Linked DNA regions of Arabidopsis thaliana. The protein of the gene in region 3 binds, or shares a complex with, the protein of the main gene of each other region. Each region holds a gene or a part of one and is shown on either strand. Other genes may lie near its edges. The genes, in order: AT1G79010, AT5G47890 and EMB1467. A codon is read from its position in the direction of its gene.

Region 1 (3,746 bases), on a different chromosome or scaffold from region 3:
CGGTAGAGACTCTCCGACCTCAGATTCTCAGCAATCTCTGTCTCCCATCGATCTCCATTCTCAAGAAGCTTCTCTTTGTCATAGAGAAGTTCCTATCATAGAGAATATAACAAAAATTTCAATAAGCATGCCTCGAAAATTATTAGGGTCTAGAAAATGTGAAAAACAGACCTCGTGTGTCTCGGTTGCGAATTCAAAGTTAGGTCCTTCAACGATTGCATCAACGGGGCAAGCTTCTTGGCAGAAACCACAGTAGATGCATTTTGTCATGTCGATATCGTACCTGTACGATACAGCTCAAATCATCATGAAAGGGTAATAAAGAAAGCAGATGGTTGATAAATGAGAACTAAAGGGATGATGACCTAGTGGTTCTGCGGCTTCCATCTTCCCTCTCTTCTGCCTCTATTGTGATTGCTTGAGCTGGACATACCTGATGAAAAGGACAAGTATCCCTCACAAGAATTACAATCCGTGGTGAACTTTTATACACACTAAATAGATCATTGTCAGCTAATATGACCATTTCATCAGAACTCTAGAGACTAAACAGTAAATATTACTCATACTCAAATAGCTTTCCTAATTACTAAGATGAATTTGATAGACTCAGAGTACCATATCAGAACAAAGAGAACGTTAAATTAAATGAAGGATTCATATCGATCTCAAAACTCACAGCTTCACAGAGTTTGCAGGCAATGCAGCGTTCTTCCCCGGTAGGATATCTTCGAAGAGCATGTTCACCACGGAAGCGAGGGCTCAGAGGACCCTTCTCAAATGGATAATTGATCTGCATACACGAAAGAGCTTCAGTAACACAGATTTCTTTCAATCTAAGTTTGGAAGACTAGAAAAGATATCACTCACAGTAACTTTTGGATCAAAGAAGTACTTGAGGGTCAGCGACAAACCGCGGACCATTTCTGTGAGGAACAGGGTGTTTATGCTCCGTTCAAAGACTACAAATTTGAGAATATCAGGAATCACTAATACTCGGGGAGGAAAACACCAAGGAAGATAGACGTACAAGAAAAGAAGAAAGGAGAAAAAAAGTAAAATTGTCTAGATCATATGGATTACCAGTATTCCAGTCCTTGGAGATTTCCTTAGAAAGTTGCTCTGCTTCTTCATCATCTGAATATTACATACGCAAACCATAAGTCATATATGAATCAGAATCTCGTAATACAAGTTGGAAAAGGGGTAGATTCACAATTAAACCTGATTTACCAAAGAAAACCAAACAAGAGCAGAAAATATACCTTTGTTGCTGCCATAAGATATACCACGGGACTGCAGTCTAGACAGATGAGATCCCTGTAAAGCTTGCCCTGACAAAACCTATCAATGTCGAGAAGTAATCAGAGAGGTATTCAGAACATACACACCATATCAAGCTAATGAAAGGATTAAAGCTCGCAAAAAAAAACAAAAAAAAATTGACTTGCGAAAAGGCTTTCGTCACAAAAATTAAATGCGAAAAAGAATAAGGAAACCATAAGTAAAACGAAAGCCCTTAAGATGAACCATGATCAAATTCAAATCTCCCTACATGATTTCATCGATCAGCTAGATAAAATCCAGAATCTCGTCGACACAAAACAAAACACAGAGAGTGAATAGAATCATCTTAAGCTCCCAAAACTCCAGGAGACATTCCCATTTCTAGGCATTCAAATAACTCTAACTAAAGGACACAAAATGAAGAAATAACAAGAGCGAACAAGATTCATACGAGATGTCGAGCACGGAGAGTATTCAGTGACCTGCGAGCCAAAATCGAAGCCATTGATGGAGCACCCAAATTCCGATTTAGGTTCCTTCCTTCTTCACTGCGATTGATGAGCAAACCTGAACTTCCGATTAAAATCAATAAAGAGCCCTAAAATCCTATTTTGTCCTTTGAGTTGAAGATATTATTACAATTTGGTCCCTGGTACAATAGTTTTTGGTTTTCCAAACCGCCGATAGAACCGGATTTTGAATTAAACAGATTCTTTCCTTAACCGAAAATAAACAGAAATACACACAATAACCAGTTAGTTACAAAGTGCTAAAACTTATTTAGCTGAGAATCGTTATTGCATACACCATTGGTGATGGAAAATTCTTTACAAAGCAAGATTGTGAAAATATCTCAATCGAAGTTGGTAGACCGGTGATTTGGAGCAATGTAATAAGAGTTTCCACAATTAATGTGAGATTGCATCAACGGATTCCATCTATCGAAAATAATTCGGCCACCACGCCCAATCCTCCCCTGAAACCGACTTGGAGGTTGACCTGGTGATGAATCCGGTGTTGGAGGAACAATCCCTGCAGCTGCCAGTTTATCGGGAACCAGCGGTTTTGTGAATAGCATTACCGGTTCATTAGGATCCTAAGGAACAAAATCATTACAGGTTTGCTTAAATGATTGATTATAGTAGCTAGAGAGAGCTTAGGTGTTGTAAGAGAAGGTTTTACCAGTCTGTGAAGCCATCCATGCTGTGACTGTCGTCTTCTAACTTCTTGTTTGATGCCTCCGGGATGAGATGCATTCAGATTTAAGTTGGTGAAACGAGAACTAGGAATAACCGCAGGTCTTGTACGTACACGAGTACTGGTGTGATCATCAGAGTCCATCAGTTCATCATCGCTTGAGCCAAATTTGTATGATGTTGTAGTGGGTTGAAATCCAGGCATAGCCAAGCTATCTTCCAAGAGCTCTGTTTCATGCTGCAAAAAAAAAAACAATTTTAGACCCGGAAAACGGAAAACAGAGAGTTTTAGAGGAAGTAGAAGTAAGTACCCTGTATTGGAGTTGGATTCTCTGAAGGCTAACCTCACTGTCCATGACATCCCTCTTCTTCTCTTCTCTCTACGGAATGGGTAACATCAAATTAGCAACTTTGGAGAATGCAATCCGCTTGTTAAGATAAACACTAAAACTGTCATATAGAACACCTTAATGAGAGCCTCCAGAATGCTCTGTGCTTGGCCTAGATTGCGTCTAACCTGATAATAACATATCCCATGTATTCAGAATCCAATAGAAAACCATAAAAGAATCACTAACAGATCATTAACAAGCAGAAAAAACAATGTTGTCCAGAGAGAAACTAAAAGAAGGCACTGTAAACGTAAATTGCTCAGATTTCAGGAAATTAAAGAACCATAAAGGTTCAGGTGCCTCACTCACCTGTCGAAGCTTTTCAAATGACTGCACATTGTTTTCTCTCCTCTGCATCTGAAGATGAAGTAAAGCCTTATCACTATTTTTCTTTCTCCAGTTGGATTTTAATAGAAAAAATGTCGCACATGCATAAAAAAGACAGCCTACCCTTCTTGTGTGGAGTCTGTGAACTTTCTCCCTTGGCCTAAACACATTATAGGGATTGGTGTCATTAACCGGTGGGGGAGGCTGTTCCAAACAATGAAGCAAAACATTAACTAAATAATCGAGGTAAGATGCCTTTCCAACATAGGCCTTGATCGTTTCAAATGGAAATAAATAATACAAACCTGTAAACGCCGTAAGATAGGCTTCTGCCATCTTTTACGCTAAGTTCACATAAAAAACAGAAAACGAAACATATGCATAAGTATTATCAGCCAAAGGTACTCCATATGTGGAACTGCTTTGTCATTCACAAGAACTATGCATAGGTTTCACGAATCAAATAATCTATTAAACCGTCTTATCTCACCCCGTAAAATAAGATCATTAACCTATGCAACATAACGTCTGTATCCAGAAAACT
Region 2 (3,746 bases), 4.5 Mb from region 3:
GCGAACTTGATTCGCTCTTAGCAATGTTTTTGAAACCGGACTGAACCGGCTGATCGGACCGGGAATTGTTGCGGAAAACACGGTCAAAAACCGACATGCCCACATCCCCTAAAACAAAAAGTTTAAACAGAGATGGTTTATTTTTCTCCTTTCTGTGATTTCAATTATACGGAATGGTTTAATTCCAAGTTCAAGGATTACACAAAAAAACCAACTCAAATGCAAGGCGATATGACACCACGGAGTTACAAAGTAGTAGAATGACAGGAAATGTCAAATGATTGTTTTGCGGTTTAATCTTATTCGGGATCATATAGAGAAAAACAAACAAACAAACAAACTTAGGCCTTTGTAGCTCCGGATTTCACAAGGTTTTCAAGGGCCTTTAGAATCTGTGGCTCTGTCAGACCATCCAAGTTTACACACCTCTCCACACCCATATCTGCACAAGCCAAGCACGAATTAACGCAATACAAAAACAGACACATTTATAAATACTAGTTCCGAAGTAGAATCGAGGATGACAATTTTAACGCATATGACTGTTGCGTAAAACAAGTTTATCACCAAAAAGAAAAAGAATCATCTTGTTCTCTCATATTTACAGTATTATACTTTACTACATTATCGGAGTGTGGGAACATAGTTTAAAGATGTTCAAAGTTCACTCAACACAGATGCTTAAATACTTTAAGTTGCTGAAGACACTGATATGTTTGGTCAGGGAAACCATATAAAATGGATCAGCTAATGAGATAACATAAACCATAAGATTTTGGCATTCACATAAATACACAACAAGGAACTAGGGAAACCAGTCTCATTTCAAAAGAACAAGCCAATATGCATTTTCATTAATGACCAATAGTCTAAGGGTGAGTGTGTACTTTAAGAGTAACTCAAGATGTTAAAACTCACTCAAAATTTAAGGCTGATATGCGACAACCATAAAGTTCAAAACAAAACAAAAACGAGAGAGAGAAAATGAACAACAGCAGTAGGCAATCACATAAACCATAAGATTTTGGCATTCACATAAAACACAACAAGGGACAAGGGAAAACAATCCTCATCTTATAAAGCACAAGCCAATATACATAGCGGTTATACACAATTCCTTATCATCAATGACCAAGACTCTAAGGGTGAGTGTGAGTGTACTACTTTAAGTGTAATTGGTTAACTCATAGTGTTAAAAGACTCTTCCCTAAAAAACTTAATGCAGAAACAAAAGAAAGAAGCCACATCTGTTATTACCAATGACCACATTCATGTCAAGTTTTTTAAAAACAAACAAACCAAAATTTAACACTGTAGAAAATTCAAAACAAACAGAATCGCGAGAAAGAAAAAGAACAACCCACATTAGAAAATCCCATAAACCATAAATTTCAGCATTCACATCAAACACAACAAGAAACATTTTCATCACAAGATGTACAAGGCTCGATAGTGAGTGTATAATGGGTGAACACAAGATGTTATAAAGACACCTCCATACAAAATATGAATGCAGAAGCAATAGAAGAAGTCACATATGTAACTACATTCATATCAAATCTTTAAAAGAGCACAATTAATTTTCATATCTCTAAAAATTAAACAATTTGAGTCAAAATTTTCCTTCACAGAGATAAGAGATAAAGCAAATTTACCATATCTTGCCCACATCTGAGGCTGGACTCCACTACATTCACGGATCAAGATTGGTAATTTAGGGTTTAGAGACTTCAAATCTTTGTAATTCTTCTCAACAAACGTTCTGAAACAACGAAACAAAAACCCTATAAATCACAAAACGGATATGGAACATTGAAAAAAAATTCCGATCTCAGAGATTGCTTTGATCAAATTGAAACCTGGTGGGAGCACTAGCTGGAGAAGATTGACAAAGAAGAATCCTAAGCTCTTTCATAGACTTCGATATGCTTCCTCTCCATGCCATCGTTCTTCTTCTTCCTCTTAACTCTTCAGATGCCACACAACGAAAGAATCAAAGACCAGAGAGAACTTTGTGTTCATGTGAAAATGAATTAAGTAAAGTTATTGGTCTTCGGCCCATTAAGTGAGTCGGAAAGTTACTGGGCTTAGGCCCATTAAATGAGTCGGTTTTGTTAGGTTTAGACCAAAAAAAAAAAAAAAAAAACTAGGTTATATATATTCTCTTTCTCTGCCACAAATTGTCTTCATACAGTAAAGAATATAATAAGTTGTCGAAGGCTTGAGCGTTGTTCCTTCTTCTTCAGGTACTTTTTGATCTTCATCTTTTTTTTGGGTTTTAATTTGTCCTTATGAATTCGTAATTGTTTGATTTGATTATTCGATTTGATCGATTGATTCTGTGATCTGATTTGTTTTGCATGTGGTTATCGTTGTTTTAGGTTTCGGGAATTTTAGATTCTTAAGTATACTTGTTTATCGGCTTTTCTCGTTTTGATATCATAGCAATCGATTTCGTGTGTTGAATTAATTTTAATCTGAATTAAGATTAGTTATTCCGTAATATAGAATTGAAGAGATTGGTTTTTGTAAGACAGATCCATCAGCTAAATCTATTATTGTCTTGATCTTTGAAATTAATATGTAATATTTTTTGTATTATTAATTTCTTTTAAGATTTATTAGTATCATTATTCATTACTGATGAACGCATGTTATTAAGATTATTGAATTTAATTCAACTTTTATGGCTGATTTTTTTAATGGTAAATTGCACAATATTTATTGTATGATTAAGGTTACATGACACACTTTGTATTATTACAGCTTCGGTTATTGTTTCTTGAGGATTTTATATCCGTATTCCAGTTTTGAGTTATATTACTCTGTTTTCGGTATTAACTAGCTTATGTACTGTTGTTGTAGGTTTTTGTTCTATTGTTAAGATGGGAGACAAAAACGATGACGACAAGAACATTGAGATATGGAAGATTAAGAAGCTGATCAAATCACTTGAAGCTGCTAGGGGTAATGGAACCAGCATGATCTCACTCATCATGCCTCCGCGTGATCAGGTCTCTCGTGTTACCAAGATGTTGGGTGATGAGTATGGAACCGCGTCAAACATCAAGAGCAGAGTCAATCGTCAATCTGTTTTGGGGGCCATAACTTCTGCTCAGCAAAGGTTGAAACTTTACAACAGGGTCCCTCCTAATGGTCTTGTACTCTATACTGGAACCATTGTTAATGAGGATGGTAAGGAGAAGAAGGTTACTATTGACTTTGAGCCTTTCAGACCCATCAATGCTTCTCTCTACCTTTGTGACAACAAGTTTCACACGGAAGCTTTGAATGAATTGTTGGAGTCTGATGACAAGTTTGGTTTCATTGTAATGGATGGAAACGGGACTCTCTTTGGAACTCTTAGTGGTAACACCCGTGAGGTACTTCACAAGTTCTCTGTTGATCTTCCGAAGAAACACGGAAGAGGAGGACAGTCTGCTCTTCGTTTTGCCCGTCTCCGTATGGAGAAGCGTCACAATTATGTTAGGAAGACTGCTGAGCTCGCCACACAGTACTACATCAATCCTGCTACAAGTCAGCCTAATGTGTCTGGACTGATTCTTGCTGGTTCAGCAGATTTCAAGACTGAGTTGAGTCAGTCTGATATGTTTGATCCCCGACTGGCTGCGAAGATACTGAATGTGGTGGATGTATCATATGGAGGAGAAAATGGTTTTAATCAAGCTATTGAGCTGTCAGCTGAAATCCTTGCGAATGTGAAGTTTATCCAAGAGAAGCGTCTG
Region 3 (3,746 bases):
AAAATCACCTAATTTGCATCTAAATATTGACTTTCATAGTACGCTAGAGATAATCAGTTCATCTTCACCTTATTCTTTGCATTGTGTAAAAGAGAGATTATGCAGAGTTTCCTAGTTGACGAGAATGAGATAGCAGAGATATTTCTTGTTTTCGTTTTGCACTTTAGAGGTACTACCTTATCGAGTTGTATGAATATGATTGTCTTGCTTCTATTTTTTTTTTTCATTTTTGGCTTTGATTGAATAAAGGTGAGAATTTTTATTTATTTTTCGCAAAGTATTTCCTTAAAATATTAGTATTTCGGTTTAGATTAGAACAAATACGAGACGATAAATAGTTTGATAACAAAAAGCTATATATGTTGTGTTTCATATCTTATCAACTCGGTCACATCCTCTTTCCATTGGATGCAATTCTTTTTCATAGAAGAACCACTAATTCTTTTTTTTCTTTTGCCATTAACCCAACAATTTTTATTGTAGTTAGTGGTTCTCCCTTATGTTTCTTTGCCTTGGAATGTAATCACTCTGTTTTGACAAAAAAAAAAAAAGAAGGAATGTAATCACCCTGTTTGACAAAAAAAAAGAAAGGAATGTAATCACTCTGTTTGACAAAAAAAAACAAGAGAGGAATGTAATCACTCTTAAAGTGATCTATAACAATTTGAAAAAGTGTCATATTTATTAGCTATAACTTATAACTTTATAAGTTTTGAATGGATGCAGTGGACAAAGCGGTATACTTTGTATGCGGTTTAATCTACCTTATTTTGAGGCGGACAATAAACCGCTGTGGACCAAGTTTATTTATATGTAAAAATAGTTCGTGGATGATTCACAGATGATCTGTTGCGGTTTTCTTCTTTTTTTTTTGTCCGGACCACTGTGCACTATAATTGATTAATGGTAAATAAAAAACAGTCTGATCCGTTGATGGTTTTGTCCGCCCGAACCGCCGTAACCATTCAAACCCATAATTAAAATTATAACGAATTACTATGTAAATTTATAACTAAAACTATCAAATTAAACGAGTTAAATTATACTTATCATGTCTGCCTGTAATGATAAGATAATATATATCAAAGCTTATGAAACTTCATTTTTTTTTTTTTTTGGTTGTCATTGCAAAGGTTAGATTAATAACAATATCACTGATAATGATGCTTACACGTAAACCTAAACAAACGAGGAAAATAAACTAACTCTTACACGTAAACCTTAACCGATGCAGCATAGGTGTTGACAATATTTTCTTTCCTTTTATTTAAATAGACGACGTTGAGATGTTTAAAATTGTCATCATTTATAACCATATTTTAAGTTGTCTTTATCTGAAATATACAAATGTTCAATTAGTACATTGACCTAAAAGTCTCTAGGACTAATGATTGATTAGAGGTTTATTTTGCTAGAGGTTCTAATATGTTGTATGGAACTAGAAGCAAGATTGTTTTAAACTCAATGTCATTAAGTGAATTAGAGAAAGATCATCAAAACTCTTAAACTATATCTCCCAAAATTAACTTAATTCAGTTTGAAAAGAAAAAGCCCACAAAGCCCAAAACTCACTCATTCATAAGCCAATTATAATATCCAAAATAAAAGCCCATAAAGCCCAAAACTCACTCATTCGTGTCTCCTTCTCTCTCGCACAAATGCTTCAGGAGTTCTCACAACAAGATCGAGAAATACACACATAGAAGACGAAGAAGAAGAAGAAGACGATACAGATCCACAACGCCATGGGTTTAGGCATCTTAGCTTCTCGAACAATTCGACCAGCTTCACGTCTTCTTCAATCTCAAACCTCCAATTTCTTCCTCCGCACAATCGTCTCAAAACCAGAGCTCCAATCTCCTGAATCCGCTGCTGTCTCTGAGCCTGAGCCGCCGACACAGATTCTCCCTCCTAGAAACCCTGTAGGTGGAGCACGCGTCCACTTCTCGAATCCTGAAGATGCGATCGAGGTCTTTGTCGATGGTTACGCGGTCAAAGTCCCTAAAGGATTCACTGTTCTTCAGGCTTGTGAGGTCGCTGGAGTTGATATCCCGAGGTTTTGTTATCATTCTCGTTTATCTATTGCTGGAAATTGCAGGATGTGTCTTGTTGAGGTTGAGAAATCTCCTAAGCCTGTAGCTTCATGTGCCATGCCTGCGCTTCCTGGTTAGTTCGATTCCAGGAAAATTTCTATGCTGATGGATTGATTTTGATCGTTGATTGGTGGAATATATTTGGATTTGGTGCTATTGCTAAGAGTTTTTGTAACAGGGATGAAGATTAAGACTGATACACCGATAGCTAAGAAGGCGAGGGAGGGAGTGATGGAGTTTTTGTTGATGAATCACCCTTTGGATTGTCCTATTTGTGACCAAGGAGGAGAGTGTGATCTTCAGGATCAGTCTATGGCTTTTGGATCTGATAGAGGACGTTTTACTGAGATGAAAAGATCTGTTGTTGATAAGAATCTTGGTCCTCTTGTGAAGACTGTTATGACTCGGTGTATCCAGTGTACAAGGTTACTAATATAGTTTGCTTATAGTGTGATGTTTTAGTTAATGTGATAGATACGCTATCCTGTTGATTAGGTTTTGTATGTATAATGTTTTTGTAGGTGTGTACGATTTGCTTCTGAAGTTGCTGGGGTTCAGGATCTTGGTATACTAGGTCGTGGTAGTGGAGAGGAAATTGGAACTTATGTTGAAAAGCTTATGACCAGTGAACTCTCTGGAAATGTTATTGATATCTGTCCTGTTGGAGCCTTGACCTCAAAGCCTTTTGCCTTTAAAGCCAGAAACTGGGAGTTGAAAGCAACAGAAACTATTGATGTTAGTGATGCTGTTGGGTCCAACATCCGTGTTGATAGTAGAGGACCAGAAGTAATGCGTATCATTCCACGCCTGAATGAGGTATGTAATGCTTTTGTTCAAAAACACTATTTTTAAAAGTATTTTGCTGGATGTTGAACTTGTGAATGTTCTTATTCAGGATATAAACGAAGAATGGATATCTGACAAAACCCGATTCTGTTATGACGGCCTGAAAAGACAAAGGCTGAGCGACCCTATGATCCGAGATTCCGATGGACGATTCAAGGCAGTGAGCTGGCGTGATGCCTTGGCTGTTGTGGGTGATATCATTCATCAGGTGAAGCCAGATGAGATTGTTGGAGTAGCAGGTCAGCTATCTGATGCGGAATCCATGATGGTACTGAAGGACTTCGTTAACAGAATGGGCTCAGACAATGTATGGTGTGAAGGAACAGCTGCTGGTGTTGATGCTGATCTTAGATACAGTTATCTGATGAACACTAGCATCAGTGGACTTGAAAACGCCGATCTCTTCCTTCTCATCGGTACCCAGGTGAGATTTCCACCCTGTCTTTTTTGTATGGTTTCTGGTACCGGATTAGACAGACCGCTCTGTATTTGGAACAATGACATAAGAAAAACCAAATTGTGTAGTTTGATACTTTGATTTAGTGGTGTGGCTTAAGGTTCTGTGCATAATTTGGAATACAGAGGCAAATAGAAAGGAGAAACAAGCAAAATTAAGTTTCTAAAAAACAGATCAGATGTTAACATTTCGCTTGTATTGAATATTCCTGATCCAGACCAATCTAGATCAAGCAAAACTTGCTCTTCCAGATATCAAAGTTGTGAAGGTTTTTTAGCAGTACATTCACCAGTTTTTGTCTATTTTTACCAGCCTAGGGTGGAAGCTGCAATGGTGAATGCTAGGATCTG

Evidence for each region.
Region 1: the proteins of EMB1467 (region 3) and AT1G79010 are in contact, whole or in part, in a cryo-EM structure (PDB 8BED), measured with the Arabidopsis thaliana proteins. Residues at the interface, in NP_568550.1 of Arabidopsis thaliana: Pro171 (codon at 2,361), Ile172 (codon at 2,364), Cys173 (codon at 2,367), Asp174 (codon at 2,370), Lys212 (codon at 2,484), Ala279 (codon at 2,781), Phe280 (codon at 2,784), Lys281 (codon at 2,787), Arg283 (codon at 2,793); in NP_178022.1 of Arabidopsis thaliana: Glu143 (codon at 400), Glu144 (codon at 397), Gly148 (codon at 385), Ser149 (codon at 382), Arg150 (codon at 379).
Region 2: the proteins of EMB1467 (region 3) and AT5G47890 are in contact, whole or in part, in a cryo-EM structure (PDB 8BED), measured with the Arabidopsis thaliana proteins. Residues at the interface, in NP_568550.1 of Arabidopsis thaliana: Lys397 (codon at 3,214), Asn401 (codon at 3,226), Arg402 (codon at 3,229), Met403 (codon at 3,232), Gly404 (codon at 3,235), Asp406 (codon at 3,241), Asp418 (codon at 3,277), Ala419 (codon at 3,280), Asp420 (codon at 3,283), Leu421 (codon at 3,286), Arg422 (codon at 3,289), Tyr425 (codon at 3,298), Leu563, Asp564, Gly566, Gln570, Arg679, Lys681, Ser682, Val683, Pro685, Asn686, His689, Glu692, Glu694, Pro695, Ala696, Ala697, Phe698, Ser701; in NP_199600.1 of Arabidopsis thaliana: Lys12 (codon at 1,912), Glu13 (codon at 1,909), Arg15 (codon at 1,903), Leu17 (codon at 1,897), Leu18 (codon at 1,894), Gln20 (codon at 1,888), Arg29 (codon at 1,861), Val32 (codon at 1,755), Glu33 (codon at 1,752), Tyr36 (codon at 1,743), Lys37 (codon at 1,740), Lys40 (codon at 1,731), Ser41 (codon at 1,728), Lys45 (codon at 1,716), Leu46 (codon at 1,713), Pro47 (codon at 1,710), Ile48 (codon at 1,707), Leu49 (codon at 1,704), Ile50 (codon at 1,701), Arg51 (codon at 1,698), Glu52 (codon at 1,695), Cys53 (codon at 1,692), Ser54 (codon at 1,689), Val56 (codon at 1,683), Trp61 (codon at 1,668), Arg63 (codon at 1,662), Met66 (codon at 440), Gly67 (codon at 437), Glu69 (codon at 431).

What each region holds. Positions count from the first base shown.
Region 1 is NC_003070.9:29,725,142-29,728,887, forward strand, and holds the start of AT1G79010 (Alpha-helical ferredoxin), read right to left. Parts: upstream 1,888-3,746; 5' UTR 1,793-1,887; coding exon 1,739-1,792; intron 1,345-1,738; coding exon 1,266-1,344; intron 1,138-1,265; coding exon 1,084-1,137; intron 963-1,083; coding exon 871-962; intron 794-870; coding exon 680-793; intron 434-679; coding exon 366-433; intron 284-365; coding exon 172-283; intron 93-171; coding exon 1-92. Other genes in the region: AT1G79020 (Enhancer of polycomb-like transcription factor protein), read right to left, coding at 2,141-2,383, 2,470-2,721, 2,795-2,863, 2,950-3,000, 3,185-3,232, 3,326-3,406, 3,508-3,546. UniProt on the Arabidopsis thaliana protein: Core subunit of the mitochondrial membrane respiratory chain NADH dehydrogenase (Complex I) that is believed to belong to the minimal assembly required for catalysis. Complex I functions in the transfer of electrons from NADH to the respiratory chain.
Region 2 is NC_003076.8:19,387,005-19,390,750, reverse strand, and holds the start of AT5G47890 (NADH-ubiquinone oxidoreductase B8 subunit), read right to left. Parts: upstream 2,048-3,746; 5' UTR 1,946-2,047; coding exon 1,860-1,945; intron 1,763-1,859; coding exon 1,656-1,762; intron 443-1,655; coding exon 342-442; 3' UTR 1-341. Other genes in the region: ERF1-1 (eukaryotic release factor 1-1), read left to right, coding at 2,886-3,746. UniProt on the Arabidopsis thaliana protein: Accessory subunit of the mitochondrial membrane respiratory chain NADH dehydrogenase (Complex I), that is believed not to be involved in catalysis. Complex I functions in the transfer of electrons from NADH to the respiratory chain.
Region 3 is NC_003076.8:14,895,745-14,899,490, forward strand, and holds the start of EMB1467 (NADH-ubiquinone dehydrogenase), read left to right. Parts: upstream 1-1,665; 5' UTR 1,666-1,745; coding exon 1,746-2,166; intron 2,167-2,271; coding exon 2,272-2,518; intron 2,519-2,614; coding exon 2,615-2,909; intron 2,910-2,988; coding exon 2,989-3,363; intron 3,364-3,708; coding exon 3,709-3,746.